Struthio camelus: one gene and its partner. The protein of the gene in region 2 interacts with the protein of the main gene of each other region in a pairwise test. Links are inferred from orthologs where the notes say so. Each region holds a gene or a part of one and is shown on either strand. Other genes may lie near its edges.

Region 1 (7,736 bases), on a different chromosome or scaffold from region 2:
ACATGCCTGCGCTGAGGGTGCACCCGCCTGCACTGAGGGTGCACCCGCCTGCATGCGAGGGTGCACCCGCCTGCATGCGAGGGTGCACCCGCCTGTGCTGAGGGTGCACTCGCCTGCGCTGAGGGTGCACATGCCTGCACTGAGGGTGCACTCGCCTGCGCTGAGGGTGCACTCGCCTGCGCTGAGGGTGCACATGCCTGCACTGAGGGTGCACCCGCCTGCACTGAGGGTGCACCCGCCTGCGCTGAGGGTGCACCCGCCTGTGCTGAGGGTGCACACGCCAGCACTGAGGGTGCACTCGCCTGCACGCGAGGGTGCACACGCCGGCGCTGGGGGTGCCCTCCAGCCACCTCCCCACGTGTGCAGGCGAGAGCGGCGTGGCCCAGCATGGACCCAGGCTTTAGCCGAGAGCTGCAGCAGCTCCCGCGCCGGGCTCCCGCGACTCGCCAGCTCGCTGTGGCGTCCCCGGAGGGCTGGCGACCTCGCCACCCCCCTCTCCCCGATGTGCCATCCACCCTCACGTCCTTTTTGCTGGGATCATCGTGTGCCCCAGCCCCGAGCCAGCCCCGAGCCCACCCCCCGGGCGATGCCGTGGTGCAATGGGGACCGTGACCCCCCCGGCGCTGCCCGGGCGGGGGGTGGCGGGGAAAGCAGTATCCGGCCGATAAGGGCTCAAAGGCGCTGGCCGCTCAGGAGTGGCCAGTTATCGCAACCAAGCTCTGCCCTGGCAAACCGCAGCGCAGGAAGAGCGCAAAGCAGCTATTTCTGAGACGGGCTTTCCATTGCGCCGCCTGCGAGTCGCTGTTGTGGTGGCCGTTTGCACAGGCAGGACGAGCCTGGCGGCGCTCGCGCTCGCGACGGGGGGGCAAGCAGAGCCCGGGCGCGCGATGCCCGGGGCACGACGTAAGGGCAGCCGGTTGGGAGCAGCGTGCCTCGGGGACGCGGCGGGGGGGCCTGGCCCGGGGGGGGGCTGCTGCTTCCTCGCTCCTCTGCCCTGTCCACCCGTGCCGCCGTCCAGCCAGCCGCCTCCGAAGCCCAGTCTCGCCCGGTCGCTGCACCGCGAGTCTAGCGCTGGGCGCAGCGCCGCCCGGCGGGGTACAGAGCCCCCCAGCTGCCCCGGCCCGCCGCGCTGCCCACCTTTGCCCCTGGAGCTGTAGAGGGAGTTCTCCTCCATGGAAAACTCGCCGTCCTTGGATTTCGGCGCGGCTTGTTGGCCATCCTTCCCCGCCGCCGCCTGCTCCTCCCAAGGAAAGAGCGGCGGCTGAGCCGCGGCGGCTGAGCCCGCGCGGCCCCGCTCACCCCCTGCCGCCTCGCCCCTCCGCCGCAGCCTCCCCGGCCCGCCTGGCGCCCCGGCTCACGGGAAAGGCCAGCTCGCAGAGCCTCCCGATCCAGCCGGCCGCCTCGGCCCCCTCGGCCGCCAGGAGGTAGCACTTGTCGGTGGTCTCCAGCAGGAAGGCGACGGTGTCCTTGGGGCCGCCGGCGTCGCCGGGCGCCTCCGCCACGTGCACGCAGTCGCTCAGCTTGACGATCCTCCTGCCGCTCTCGCTGCGCCGCGGCTTGTCGGCGGCGGGCGGCGCGGCGCCCTCGAACAGCTCCAGGCGGGCCGTGGAGCAGGAGCTTTCCCGGTACAAAATGCCCCAGAACTTCTTCCATTTCTGCCAGAGGGGAAGGAAGGGGATGGATCGGGAGCCCCCCTCGCCCGCCCGCCGGCGTTCGCCAGCTCCGCTTTTGCCTCCCCGGTGGAGCACCCCCGCCCCGCGCCGAACAGCAACGCGCACGCAGCTCCCCGGCCTGCCCGGCGCTGCGGGGCGCCCGGAGCCGCCCACCGCAGGGAGCAAGGACCCGTCCTGCGCCCCCCGCACCCCGCGCGCGGTGCCCTTGCAGAGCGAGACGCGTCCCGGCTGGCCGGGCGGCCGCCGGAGACGCCCAGGAAGCTCCTTCCCCTTCTTGCACAAGAGCGGCGGCCGCCGGCAGCCCTCGCTGCGCCCGGCTCTCACCGGCCGGCGGGGGCGGCGCAGGGGCTCGCGCCCCGGCCTCGGCTCGGCACCCCGCTGCGCCGCGGGCTGGAGCCTTTCGCCGCGCCGGGCGCATCCGGCGCCTCCGAGGCCCCAGCTCCTTCCCAGCGGCCCGGCGGGCGGGCGGCGAGCAGGAGGCTTCGCGCCGCCAAGGCTCCCGGCAGCGGCCGAGCCGGCGGCGATCGCCCGGCTCCTCCGGAGGCGCCCGCTGCCACGCGAAACCCGCCGTGCACCCAGCGCCCCCCGCGCGGGAAACGCCGGGCTCTGCCCCCAGCGCCCTCGTGCCCTCACCGGCCCTTTGCAAGACACCGAGGTCGGGGCGCGCAGGCAGCGGGGCGAGGGCCGGCCCCGGCCGTGCACGGAGCTGCGGCGGCCCCGGGCTCGTCCTTACCTTGCCGAAGGTCTGCTGCAGCTGCAGGTAGAGCGCGCCCTGCTTCACCGCCGCCTCGTCCATCTTGCAGCCGCGGGCATCCTCCGGCGCCCCCGCCGCTGCCCTGGCGCCCTCCTCGCCTCTCGGCCCCGCTCCTATTTTTTTTTTTTTCCTCTCTCTCGTTTCCTACACGCGTACGGGTTGCGCTCGAGCTTCCTGTATGTGCGATGTTACCAAAAAGGGCAGCCGCGGGCGCTGCTCGGAGGCGAGCGCGTGCGCGCACGTGCGGCGTGCCGGCCCGTCCCCGGGGGCCGCGGCGGGGCTGCGCTGGCCCGCACACGTGCGTGCGTGCGCCCGCTGCCGTTGCCGGTCCGCTGCTTTTCGCCCACCCGCACGGTGCAGGAGGGGCACCATCGTGGGCAAACCCTGTCCGTGCCTCAGTTTCCCTATCTGGGAAACGGGGCTGGAGGTGCCCCCGCTGGCGGCCAGCAGGGCCGTTGGGGAGCGGCGGCGAGGCCCTGCGCCCTCCCGCGGGCAGTCCGGATGCCTTGGAGGGCCGGGGCCGTGCGGGAGACCCAGGCCGCCCGCCACCCGGAAACGCGTTATTTATACCTCCGCTGCAGAGAGGACGGAAAGTGTTACGGGTCCCGCAGGAAGCAGATTTACCAGCTCATCGTTTTCTCTCCCGCGGCGCCAGCATCCCCCCCGCTCCTCCGGGGCAGCGGGGCGACCTGTGCATGGGGATGTCTGGAGCCGGAGGCCTTCCTCCTCCTCCTCCTCCTGCCCAGGCTTTGCATGCCTCTGGCAGCCCCCCAAGCCCCCTCCCCAAAGGCTGCCCCCCGTTAGGGAAGGGGTCGGCTAGTGGGGCTCGACCCCCTCGTCGCGGCGCGCCGCGGCTCTGCCCCGGCTCCCTTTCAAGTCCCCGCCGGCCCCGCACGGAGGGTATTCAGGCGGGGCGAGAGCCGCAGAGCTCTTGGAGGGAAGAAAGGCGGCGGGCCGGGGGGCTGCCCGCTCTCCGGACACCTTCCCCCGAAGAAAAGGCTCGGGAAGGGCGCGAGGCAGGCGGTGGCGGGGGCCGGCACTGCCGCCTTTCATGCCAGGAGCGCGTCTCCGAGCTCGGCTAATCAAAGCCTGCCGCCCCGGCACCGCCGCGGCTTCCCCGGCGGAGCCCGCGCGCCGGCGGCCTGCGGCCTCGGCCACCGCTGGGCTGTCGCTCGGCCCCGGGGCAGCGCCAGGACGGCGACGGGGACGGGGCAGCAGGACAGGCTGCGCCAGCTGCTTCGTGGGTCGGGCATGGAGATTCGGGGCAACATGCCAGCAGGACACACGGCCCTCGGGGCGGCAGGACACACGGCCCTCGGGGCAGCAGGACACACGGCCCTCGGGGCGGCAGGACACACGGCCCTCGGGGCAGCAGGACACACGGCCCTCGGTGCCAGCAGGACACACGGCCCTCGGGGCGCAGGACACATGGCCCTCGGGGCAGCAGGACACACGGCCCTCGGGGCGGCAGGACACACGGCCCTCGGGGCAGCAGGACACACGGCCCTCGGTGCCAGCAGGACACACGGCCCTCGGTGCGGCAGGACACACGGCCCTCGGGGCGCAGGACACATGGCCCTCGGTGCGGCAGGACACACGGCCCTCGGGGCAGCAGGACACATGGCCCTCGGTGCAGCAGGACACACGGCCCTCGGTGCCAGCAGGACACACGGCCCTCGGGGCGCAGGACACACGGCCCTCGGTGCCAGCAGGACACACGGCCCTCGGTGCCAGCAGGACACACGGCCCTCGGGGCGGCAGGACACACGGCCCTCGGGGCGGCAGGACACACGGCCCTCGGGGCGCAGGACACACGGCCCTCGGTGCCAGCAGGACACACGGCCCTCGGGGCAGCAGGACACACGGCCCTCGGTGCCAGCAGGACACACGGTCCTCGGTGCCAGCAGGACACACGGCCCTCGGGGCGCAGGACACACGGCCCTCGGGGCGGCAGGACACACGGCCCTCGGGGCAGCAGGACACACGGCCCTCGGGGCGCAGGACACACGGCCCTCGGTGCCAGCAGGACACACGGCCCTCGGTGCCAGCAGGACACACGGCCCTCGGGGCGGCAGGACACACGGCCCTCGGGGCGGCAGGACACACGGCCCTCGGGGCGCAGGACACACGGCCCTCGGTGCCAGCAGGACACACGGCCCTCGGGGCAGCAGGACACACGGCCCTCGGTGCCAGCAGGACACACGGTCCTCGGTGCAGCAGGACACACGGCCCTCGGGGCGCAGGACACACGGCCCTCGGGGCGGCAGGACACACGGCCCTCGGGGCAGCAGGACACACGGCCCTCGGGGCAGCAGGACACACGGCCCTCGGGGCGGCAGGACACACGGCCCTCGGGGCGCAGGACACATGGCCCTCGGGGCAGCAGGACACACGGCCCTCGGGGCGGCAGGACACACGGCCCTCGGGGCAGCAGGACACACGGCCCTCGGTGCCAGCAGGACACACGGCCCTCGGGGCGGCAGGACACACGGCCCTCGGGGCAGCAGGACACACGGCCCTCGGTGCCAGCAGGACACACGGCCCTCGGGGCAGCAGGACACACGGCCCTCGGTGCCAGCAGGACACACGGCCCTCGGGGCGGCAGGACACACGGCCCTCGGTGCCAGCAGGACACACGGCCCTCGGGGCAGCAGGACACACGGCCCTCGGGGTGCAGGACACACGGCCCTCGGTGCCAGCAGGACACACGGCCCTCGGGGCGGCAGGACACACGGCCCTCGGGGCAGCAGGACACACGGCCCTCGGTGCCAGCAGGACACACGGCCCTCGGGGCAGCAGGACACACGGCCCTCGGGGCGCAGGACACACGGCCCTCGGGGCGCAGGACACACGGCCCTCGGTGCCAGCAGGACACACGGCCCTCGGGGCAGCAGGACACACGGCCCTCGGTGCAGCAGGACACACGGCCCTCGGGGTGCAGGACACACGGCCCTCGGGGCAGCAGGACACACGGCCCTCGGGGTGCAGGACACACGGCCCTCGGGGCGCAGGACACACGGCCCTCGGTGCAGCAGGACACACGGCCCTCAGTGGGCAGGACACACGGCCCTCGGTGCAGCAGGACACACGGCCCTTGGTGGGCAGGACACACGGCCCTCGGGGCAGCAGGACACACGGCCCTCGGGGCAGCAGGACACACGGCCCTCGGTGGGCAGGACACACGGCCCTCGGGGCAGCAGGACACACGGCCCTCGGTGCGGCAGGACACACGGCCCTCGGTGCCAGCAGGACACACGGCCCTCGGGGCAGCAGGACACACGGCCCTCGGGGCGGCAGGACACACGGCCCTCGGTGGGCAGGACACACGGCCCTCGGTGCAGCAGGACACACGGCCCTCGGGGCAGCAGGACACACGGCCCTCGGTGCGGCAGGACACATGGCCCTCGGTGCCAGCAGGACACACGGCCCTCGGGGCAGCAGGACACACGGCCCTCGGTGCGGCAGGACACACGGCCCTCGGTGCCAGCAGGACACACGGCCCTCGGTGCAGCAGGACACACGGCCCTCGGGGCAGCAGGACACACGGCCCTCGGTGCGGCAGGACACACGGCCCTCGGGGCAGCAGGACACACGGCCCTCGGGGCGCAGGACACACGGCCCTCGGTGGGCAGGACACACGGCCCTCGGGGTGCAGGACACACGGCCCTCGGTGCCAGCAGGACACACGGCCCTCGGGGCGCAGGACACACGGCCCTCGGTGCGGCAGGACACACGGCCCTCGGGGCGCAGGACACACGGCCCTCGGGGCAGCAGGACACACGGCCCTCGGTGGGCAGGACACACGGCCCTCGGGGCAGCAGGACACACGGCCCTCGGTGCGGCAGGACACACGGCCCTCGGTGCCAGCAGGACACACGGCCCTCGGTGCAGCAGGACACACGGCCCTCGGGGCGGCAGGACACACGGCCCTCGGGGCAGCAGGACACACGGCCCTCGGTGCCAGCAGGACACACGGCCCTCGGTGCAGCAGGACACACGGCCCTCGGGGTGCAGGACACACGGCCCTCGGTGGGCAGGACACACGGCCCTCGGGGCGGCAGGACACACGGCCCTCGGTGTCAGCAGGACACACGGCCCTCGGTGCCAGCAGGACACACGGCCCTCGGGGCAGCAGGACACACGGCCCTCGGTGCAGCAGGACACACGGCCCTCGGTGCCAGCAGGACACACGGCCCTCGGGGCGGCAGGACACACGGCCCTCGGGGCGCAGGACACACGGCCCTCGGGGCGGCAGGACACACGGCCCTCGGTGCCAGCAGGACACACGGCCCTCGGTGGGCAGGACACACGGCCCTCGGTGCCAGCAGGACACACGGCCCTCGGTGGGCAGGACACACGGCCCTCGGGGTGCAGGACACACGGCCCTCGGGGCGGCAGGACACACGGCCCTCGGTGGGCAGGACACACGGCCCTCGGGGCAGCAGGACACACGGCCCTCGGTGCGGCAGGACACACGGCCCTCGGGGCAGCAGGACACACGGCCCTCGGTGCGGCAGGACACACGGCCCTCGGTGGGCAGGACACACGGCCCTCGGGGCGGCAGGACACACGGCCCTCGGGGCAGCCGGACACACGGCCCTCGGTGCGGCAGGACACACGGCCCTCGGGGCAGCAGGACACACGGCCCTCGGTGGGCAGGACACACGGCCCTCGGGGCAGCAGGACACACGGCCCTCGGTGCGGCAGGACACACGGCCCTCGGTGCAGCAGGACACACGGCCCTCGGGGCAGCAGGACACACGGCCCTCGGTGCGGCAGGACACACGGCCCTCGGGGCAGCAGGACACACGGCCCTCGGTGCCAGCAGGACACACGGCCCTCGGTGCAGCAGGACACACGGCCCTCGGGGTGCAGGACACACGGCCCTCGGGGCGGCAGGACACACGGCCCTCGGGGCAGCAGGACACACGGCCCTCGGTGCGGCAGGACACACGGCCCTCGGGGCGGCAGGACACACGGCCCTCGGTGCGGCAGGACACACGGCCCTCGGTGCCAGCAGGACACACGGCCCTCGGGGCAGCAGGACACACGGCCCTCGGGGTGCAGGACACACGGCCCTCGGGGCAGCAGGACACATGGCCCTCGGGGCGGCAGGACACACGGCCCTCGGTGGGCAGGACACACGGCCCTCGGGGTGCAGGACACACGGCCCTCGGGGCGGCAGGACACACGGCCCTCGGTGCCAGCAGGACACACGGCCCTCGGTGCGGCAGGACACACGGCCCTCGGGGCGCAGGACACACGGCCCTCGGGGCGGCAGGACACACGGCCCTCGGGGCGCAGGACAC
Region 2 (7,239 bases):
TGTGTTTTAAAAGTCAGTTGCTTCACATGTAGACACTGATCGGTTTTCTAAGGATAGTAACAATAAACCTGTGCATTCTTGAACCCTTTTCACAGAATATAACGTTCTCTAAGTTCTTGGTAAAAACGAACCTTCATTTACAACAGAAGAAATCTCACTATCAGTAGTAGGATAGGAAACTGCTGCCACGGGGAAACTGATCTCCTCCTCTCGGATGGTGCAGTAGCAGTGTTTGAAGAGCAATGCTTACTGTAATGAGGAGTTGTACTACGCTAGCAAGTGTTACAGCCTCATCCTCTGCTTTTTTTTCTGTATGGTTTTATTGTCAAGGGTGCTCTGCTGTTTTACTCCATGCAGCTCTATTTATGTTTGCTGCCTGATTGGTGGAAATGATGTTGACAGAAATCTTAAACTATAGTTATTGCAAGTTTGGCCAGTTTGAAGATGATCGTGGGCTTGGTGCTGGGTTCACCCCATGCTGTATGTAGAAGGGGAGCATGGGAGGCGATGATGTACCAAAGATAGCATCTGAGAGCTGCTGGAAAACAGAAAGCTATTCTCGGTTTTCCAGCTTGTTCTCATTCCCTCTTCCAGAAATAACCAATTTAATCAGCTTTTACTGAGAGCAAGAAATGTCTTACCTCAGCCTGTAGTGGCGCTGTAGTGATTTACTTCTCTTCCTCGTGAAGTAAAAAAGCAAGGGAGTCTCAGATCTGCTGGCAACTTTTTTTGTAGATCCTCGGGCCTGGCCTTAAAAATGCTGATATCTTAGATCCTTCCCTTGAATATTGTTATCAAAGCTCTCAAGTGTCTCGTGTGTGCTCAGTTTTGCACGCATCTTTGAGGCCTGGCTGAATGATGGAAAAAGCAGGTATTCCACCTCCTTGAAGGTGTTGAGTTAGATGAGTGGTAATTGAAGCATGAACATTGCAACCAAGGCTTTTAGAGGTAAATAGTACTGAAAGTTGTCTGAAATATTTGTGATGTCTTGAACGTGACTGCACTTCACACTGGTCTTTGGCACGCTGATCTCTCAAGCCTGTGTTATCAACGTTTAGGTTTTTGGATTCCGTTCCTCCTTCTGCAGTAGACTACTTCAGACAGTCAGCTCAAGAGCTGATAGAGGAAAAAGGGGCGATTGATGCGCTGGCTGCAGCTCTAGCTCATATTTCTGGGGCATCCTCCATCCAGCAGCGCTCCTTACTCAACTCAACTGCGGTAAATAACATTGCATCTGTGTTGACAAGAATGGCTGAGCGAATGGCTTGAGTCCAGTCTAAGTGTGTCATCTTGTTCTGGGGATTCCAAGTAGCTGTTATCTCCAACGTTCGGTTTGTGTCTGGTTCCTTAAGTGGAATCAGATCTTACTGGCATTCTGTAGGGAAACAGAGAAACTTGAAGTCAGTTGGTAAATTTTCTCATAATGAGCGTTAAAAGAATTGCTCCAGAGATGTAGGTGACAGAAGACTTTGCTCTAAGAGGCCTCAATTAATGAAATTTCACAAGCTCAGACTTTGGTTCTTGCTGTTGTTGCAGTTGCCTTCCCAGGAAGCACCTTTATTTCTGCCAATTTCAAGTAAGCCTAGCATGTGGTTATCTGACTTTAAAGACATCTTGATAGAGGAAAAATTACTACTTTTCCTTTTTCTGATGCCTTTGGAGAGAACCTGGCCCGGTTAATTGTGTGATCATGGTTTTGGAAACACTGTGGTGATTGGACTGTCCTTCCTCATATCGGTTTAATTTTACTTTTTTTCCAGCTGTTACTTTCTTAATGTACTGAGCTCTGCTTCTGGCTAAAACGCAGAAGTGCTACTGGCCTTTGTCCTGATGGGCATTCTTAGGTTAGATGGATACCTTCAGCTTCTTTGGAGGCTTTTAGTTGCCCCACTCCTGGGAAGCTGATTTCTTAGGATTAAGTACTGCATTGCAATTGTAAGTTATTACATCGTTCATAACAGTTAATGGGTGACAGACTGTCCAACCAAGTTTAGTCATCTTTTGTAAATGTGTTTCTCTGTTTGCTCCTGAAGGGCTTTGTGACCATGGTGTTGCAGTGCTCTATAGAGATGCGTACCATGAGCTACGCCTGGCGAGGACTAAAAGAACAGCTTGGTGAGGAAGTGGATGCTAAAGTATCTGCAATGCGTTTCCTCAAGGGGAAGATGGTAAGATGGCACAACCTTGGGGAAGGAGGGATGTGTCTCTATCCGTGTGTGTCTGTGTGTGTGTGTGTGTGTGTGTGTGTACACGGCCGCTTTCTGCAGTGACTGAGATGAGAGTTCTGAAGCAGCAGTGCGGAAACGTCTTGTCTCGCTCTATCCCTACTCCATCTCATTTCTCCTTCATGTAAAATGCTAACGTATCACACAAAATCCCTTTAACTGCTGTCTGTTTTTACGCTCTACAGAAATGTGTTAAAAGCTAGCTGAGTGTTAAAAGATATTTGCTTGAATGAAGACACTGCTCCCAAATGATGATACAGGAATTCTCTCCTAAAAGAGCACATCAGAATAATGTGTGGTAGAAATGGCTGTTGTGACCTTTATTCTTTCATTGTAAACTCACAGTAACACTACATACCGTTGCACTGAAAGAACGTCAGTAGAGGAGAGCCGCGACTGACAGCCCGAACCTGATCAGTGCAGTATTCGCTTCATTGTCAGCTTGGCTCTTGACATATCTGACAGCAGAGAACGTGTGCTGCTGGAGAAGCCTGCCTTACCTTTGAACAGGCGGGCCAACTGCAGGCGGTGCTGCTCTCAGCACCCATCATTTGGGTCTGCGTTTTGTCACGAGCTGCAGTTTTTTAACTGCTCTTTCTGCAGCTTATGAAAAGGTACCCCCGAAAGGGCATGCGTTCTGCTGCTTCTGGTTTCTATTCCCAGCCTTAATGAGCAGTGTTTCAGGTGCTGGCTGTCTGGAGTTTTGGTTTTGTGCCTCTGTTACTAGATACGTTTTTGGAAAACAAATGCTTATCTTTGTTTATGTATAGGGAGTGTGCTTCGATATCCCTTTTGATGAACTGAGTCGCATACAGGTACGTTTTTACGGTCAGAATCTGCTTTTGGAACGTCTGAGGGGTGATACGTTAGTCAAATACATGGTGATTATATTGTTACAGACTAGTTGGAGAAGATAAGGTTTGTGATTTTTCCAAGGAGACTGCATAGAAATGCCAGCAGAGTCATCACAGAATACATGCCCCACCGAGCTCTGTCCTTTTAGTTCTCTTCCTACTACCCCATTTTTCTTAAAGAACATCCGATGTTCTTTGGCCACTCTGGGTTTTGACCTTGCTAGTAGTGTATTTGAGAGCAGCGACAGCTAACCAGGTCTCTGTGGTCTTTACTCCCTCTTATCCCTTTGCTTGTCTGGCCTTGGTCATAGGACTGCAAACGGAGGTGGTTTTTTTTTTTTTTTTTTTTTTGAAGCTTAAGAGTGATGCTTGCCTCCCTTAGGGATCTGACCTATTTTGGCGAGGGTGGGATTTGTCTGGAAGTGCCTTTGTGCCTAACAACATAGGGTATCTCGGGCGCACCTGCACGTTTGCACCTGCCGGCTCGTAAGTCTATTATATTGCTCTTGTTTCAGGAACAGTGGCAGGACACCAGACGCTGGCAGCTGTCTGTAGCAAAGGAGTTGCCTGAGCTGGAAGAGCACCCGCATGAGGCAGGCCAAGGCTTCTCCAGGTTTGGAAGTGGCAGACAAGGTGACAACGGCTTCAGGAGGAACAACAGATTTAAGAACGGAAACCAGGGACAGAATTTTAACAGGTCATTTCATTAACGGCCGATGGAGCTATGGGACTGAGCTGCTTTTTATCCAAAAGTAAAAACCTATTGGACATTCGTCTTTGTCTTTATTCCTTGATTAAGCAGCCTTTCTTTGAGGATGGCTAGCAATCGCTCGTTTGCTGAAATGAGAGGAAAAGTAATTTTTTGAAAAGTGGATTTTTTTTTCTTTTTTACTGACACAATCGCTGCTGCCGTTTTTTCCTCCTCTTAAACCGCGTGGCAAGTACAGCTCGGGGTGAGCACAGCGCTGGAAACTTAGCGCTGCGGGAGGATAAACGCTGTAATGGCAACGAGCGGCCCTCGCGTGATGCGCCGGGGTAGCGGGGGGGGGGGGGGGGATGTCGCGCGGGGGGGGGGATGTCGCGCGGGGGGGGCGGGGCTCGGCTCGCCCCGCCCCGCCGCGCGGAGCCGCGCGCGGCGGGGGCGGAGCGCCGCCTCCGCGCCGCGGCGTGATTGGCCGGCGGGCGTCACGCGGCGGGGCGCGTGCGGCGGCGGGGGGAAGAAGATGGCGGCGGCGGGCGGCGGGTGGGCGGCGGTGTGCGAGAAGTTCCGCAGCGCGCGGACGCTGTCGGCCGTGGAGTCGCGCAAGGACCCGGAGACGGAGCCGTACCGCTCCAAGTACGCGGCGCGGGCGCTGCTCGAGGAGGTGAAGCAGCTGCTGAGCGCCGCCGAGGAGGGCGGCGAGGCGGGGCTGCGGGCCGTGCGGCGGGCCGTGCTGGAGTACGAGCTGGGCGCCAACCACAGCGACACGGAGGAGCTGTCGGCCGGCGAGGAGCACCTGCTGCGCTGCGCCCGCCTCCTCGAGCCGCACCGCCTCTCCCGCGGCTGCGTCTCCCTCTACATACAGGCCCAGGTGGGCCGGGGGGGCGGGGGGCTGTCTGGGGGGCTGGGAGGCCTGGGGGGTGCTGGGGTGATCTGAGGGGCCTGTGTGAGTGGGCGGTTGGGGGAGTGAGGTGGTCTGTGGGGGAAGGAGCTGGGGGGCCTGGGAGGGTCTGTGTGAATGGGGGGTTAGGGGGTGTGGGGGGGGCCTGTATGTGCAGGGAACTTGTAGGGGAGGACAGGGGGGTCCGGGGGGCTGGAGATGGTGTGCAGGCAGCTGTAGGGGGGTCGGGAGGGCAGGGGTGGGGTGGGCGAGCACAGGAGGGCCCCCTGGGCTGGGCGGGTTGAGGGGGGTATTTGCAGGGGACGGTGAGACAGAACCTCAGCGGTCCTGAGGCTGGACTGGGGGGAGATCTCAGCACGTCTGGAATTTATTTGTGGTTGTTGAGCTGTCATTTGCAGCCACAGCGTGTTGGGGGAGGGGGTTGCTTTTATTTATACCATATCCTGAAAAGGTGCGTTTGTTCTGAAAGGACCGACTTGTTTGCTTTTTCAGCATTGCCTGTTAGCTCACTATCTGTTACGTTTATTCCAGATGATTAAAGGTAGTTTTGTGTTGTTAGAAATAACATTCATCTTTCTATCCTGAAAAAAGTAACACTGTTACAGGATTATTACTTAACACATGAGGATTCCCAAAAGGGATGGGCCTTTAATCAATTCCTTCTTCATGGCAGCTGTGTTTTATATGTACATCTCCAGCTCTATTTAAGTCAGTCTGTTACTTAGATGTCTGTCAAAATTAGCCCACCTAATAAGAAAAGGCTAAGTATTCTTTCTTTGTCACCCGTTACAAAACTGTCAAGGAATTGTGTGTTTGTGTGGAGAGACTCCTTTTAGTTGAAAAATCATTTGTCTTATGCGGCTTAAACTGAATGAGCTGCCTGGAATTTGTAAGGTTTTATCTGCTCACTCTCTTTCAGAGTGGCAGTCCGGGTACTCTGCTACAAATCTGTTACTGGAAGAAAGCCATTTTATGTAAGATTCAAGATTAGTTAAGAAGCTAGTCAAAATAACACAATATCTTCCCAGTATTTGAAAGGGCAAGGACTCCACTGTGCTTTTCAGCTGATATGCTGGAAAGTGGTGCTTTTCTCCATTGGATGAGTGCTGCCATCTGCATGGATTTTCCAAACTTGACACCTTCTAGAAGCGGCAGGATGAAAAGTGCTGTGGTCCAACAGCAGAAAAATCTACTATCGTCTGGGACATAACACAAGACATGTGGCTGAGAACAATGATGATAAATTAGCGTGCTCTCAATGTTCCATCTCAAGGCCTATAATAGGTCGAGTCCTTAATTACAAAACTTCTGAATACTCCAAGCAGTAATCATCAACAGCGGTTGGTGTGATGACAGATTTCTCTCTCAGCACATCCTAGGTACTGTAGAGTATGTTGTCAGTGCGCTGACTTCTATTTTGAAAGAAGTAGCATTGTTTTTTCCTGCTTCTGCAGCCCTACTCCTGGTCTCTGTGCTGCACAATGATGTATGTGACAGCTCCTGTCTCATTGAGTTTAGTTAGTTCCACTGCTCAGCCATCGGCAAAGTATTGCCGTTTATAAACATGCTACATGGTGCTTTCTTTTTAAAATCATAAAATAAATGGAATTGGAAGGGAGGTGGCATTGGCCAAGCTACATGCTCTGGCTTTTTTGAAGCTTTTTTCTTTCTGTAGTCCTGTTGCGTTTTTTTTTTTTGGTTTTTTTGTTTTATTTTTTTAACAACTCTGTCTGGGAACTGAACTAGCACATGTGACTTGGATTGTTATTGACACCTTCATTTTATTAATAGTTAGAGGGGCTTTTTGTAAAAGGTGGGTTCACAGATGTATGACGTGTTACTGTGTGCATTTCTGTATTTTAAATTTGAAGGCGTTAGTCCTTAGCTTTTGCATTTAACAGTTTCATCTCCTTGTTGAAGAAATACAGGTGTTCTTCCTGGCTTATCTTTTCCTATTGATTTTTTTTGTTCATACAAAGTCACATTGACAATTTTCTATTTCCTTGACTCTTATGATTATGAGTTAAAAGTTGCATGAATCAGATGCAGAACTGTGTGGAAAAAGCTCCTTATTTGAACACACAGGTCCTAATTTAGCAGGGTAAACACAAAAGACCACTGTTTAAGTGAGATGACTTTTTTTTATGAATTTGCCTGTGTTTGAGAACCCTTCTCTTAAAGCAACATGAGATAAAATGCATGAGTCGAATTTTGCCTTTCTAACTCCATTGTATTAGAATGATGTATATCAGGATGAAGACTGATAAATTGTTTGGAGAAAACGTCTAAATGTAAATTGAGCGTAACAGGAAAAACTTTTTTTCTTTTTTTGTTTAGAACAGTCTGGGTATCCTGTGGTCTGAAAGGGATGAAATCAAAACTGCTCAAACATACTTGGAATCTGCAGAAGCCTTGTATAATCAATACATGAAAGAGGTACTGTATTGATTAGCGTTTTGGCAGGTCTTACTTTACACACAAATGGTACTCTTTGTTTTTTGTTTTACAGAAGTACGTAGCGACTGGAATTACCTAGCTTTCTCTGTTCAAGAGAACTCA

The links.
Region 1: the proteins of KIFBP (region 2) and DOK2 interact in a two-hybrid assay, tested with the Homo sapiens proteins (2 studies listed by BioGRID and IntAct). The two-hybrid records come from large-scale screens. The link is inferred for Struthio camelus from reciprocal best matches to the Homo sapiens genes KIFBP and DOK2.

Annotation. Positions count from the first base shown.
Region 1 is NC_090968.1:5,669,648-5,677,383, reverse strand, and holds the start of DOK2 (docking protein 2), read right to left. Parts: upstream 3,014-7,736; 5' UTR 2,998-3,013; intron 2,689-2,997; exon of another isoform or gene 2,602-2,688; 5' UTR 2,470-2,601; coding exon 2,407-2,469; intron 1,656-2,406; coding exon 1,359-1,655; intron 1,241-1,358; coding exon 1,138-1,240; intron 1-1,137. UniProt on the Homo sapiens protein: DOK proteins are enzymatically inert adaptor or scaffolding proteins. They provide a docking platform for the assembly of multimolecular signaling complexes. DOK2 may modulate the cellular proliferation induced by IL-4, as well as IL-2 and IL-3.
Region 2 is NC_090948.1:39,034,417-39,041,655, forward strand, and holds the start of KIFBP (KIF-binding protein), read left to right. Parts: upstream 1-4,239; 5' UTR 4,240-4,302; coding exon 4,303-4,650; intron 4,651-7,017; coding exon 7,018-7,116; intron 7,117-7,239. Other genes in the region: nucleolar RNA helicase 2, read left to right, coding at 1,059-1,218, 2,034-2,168, 2,996-3,040, 3,595-3,789. UniProt on the Homo sapiens protein: Activator of KIF1B plus-end-directed microtubule motor activity. Required for organization of axonal microtubules, and axonal outgrowth and maintenance during peripheral and central nervous system development.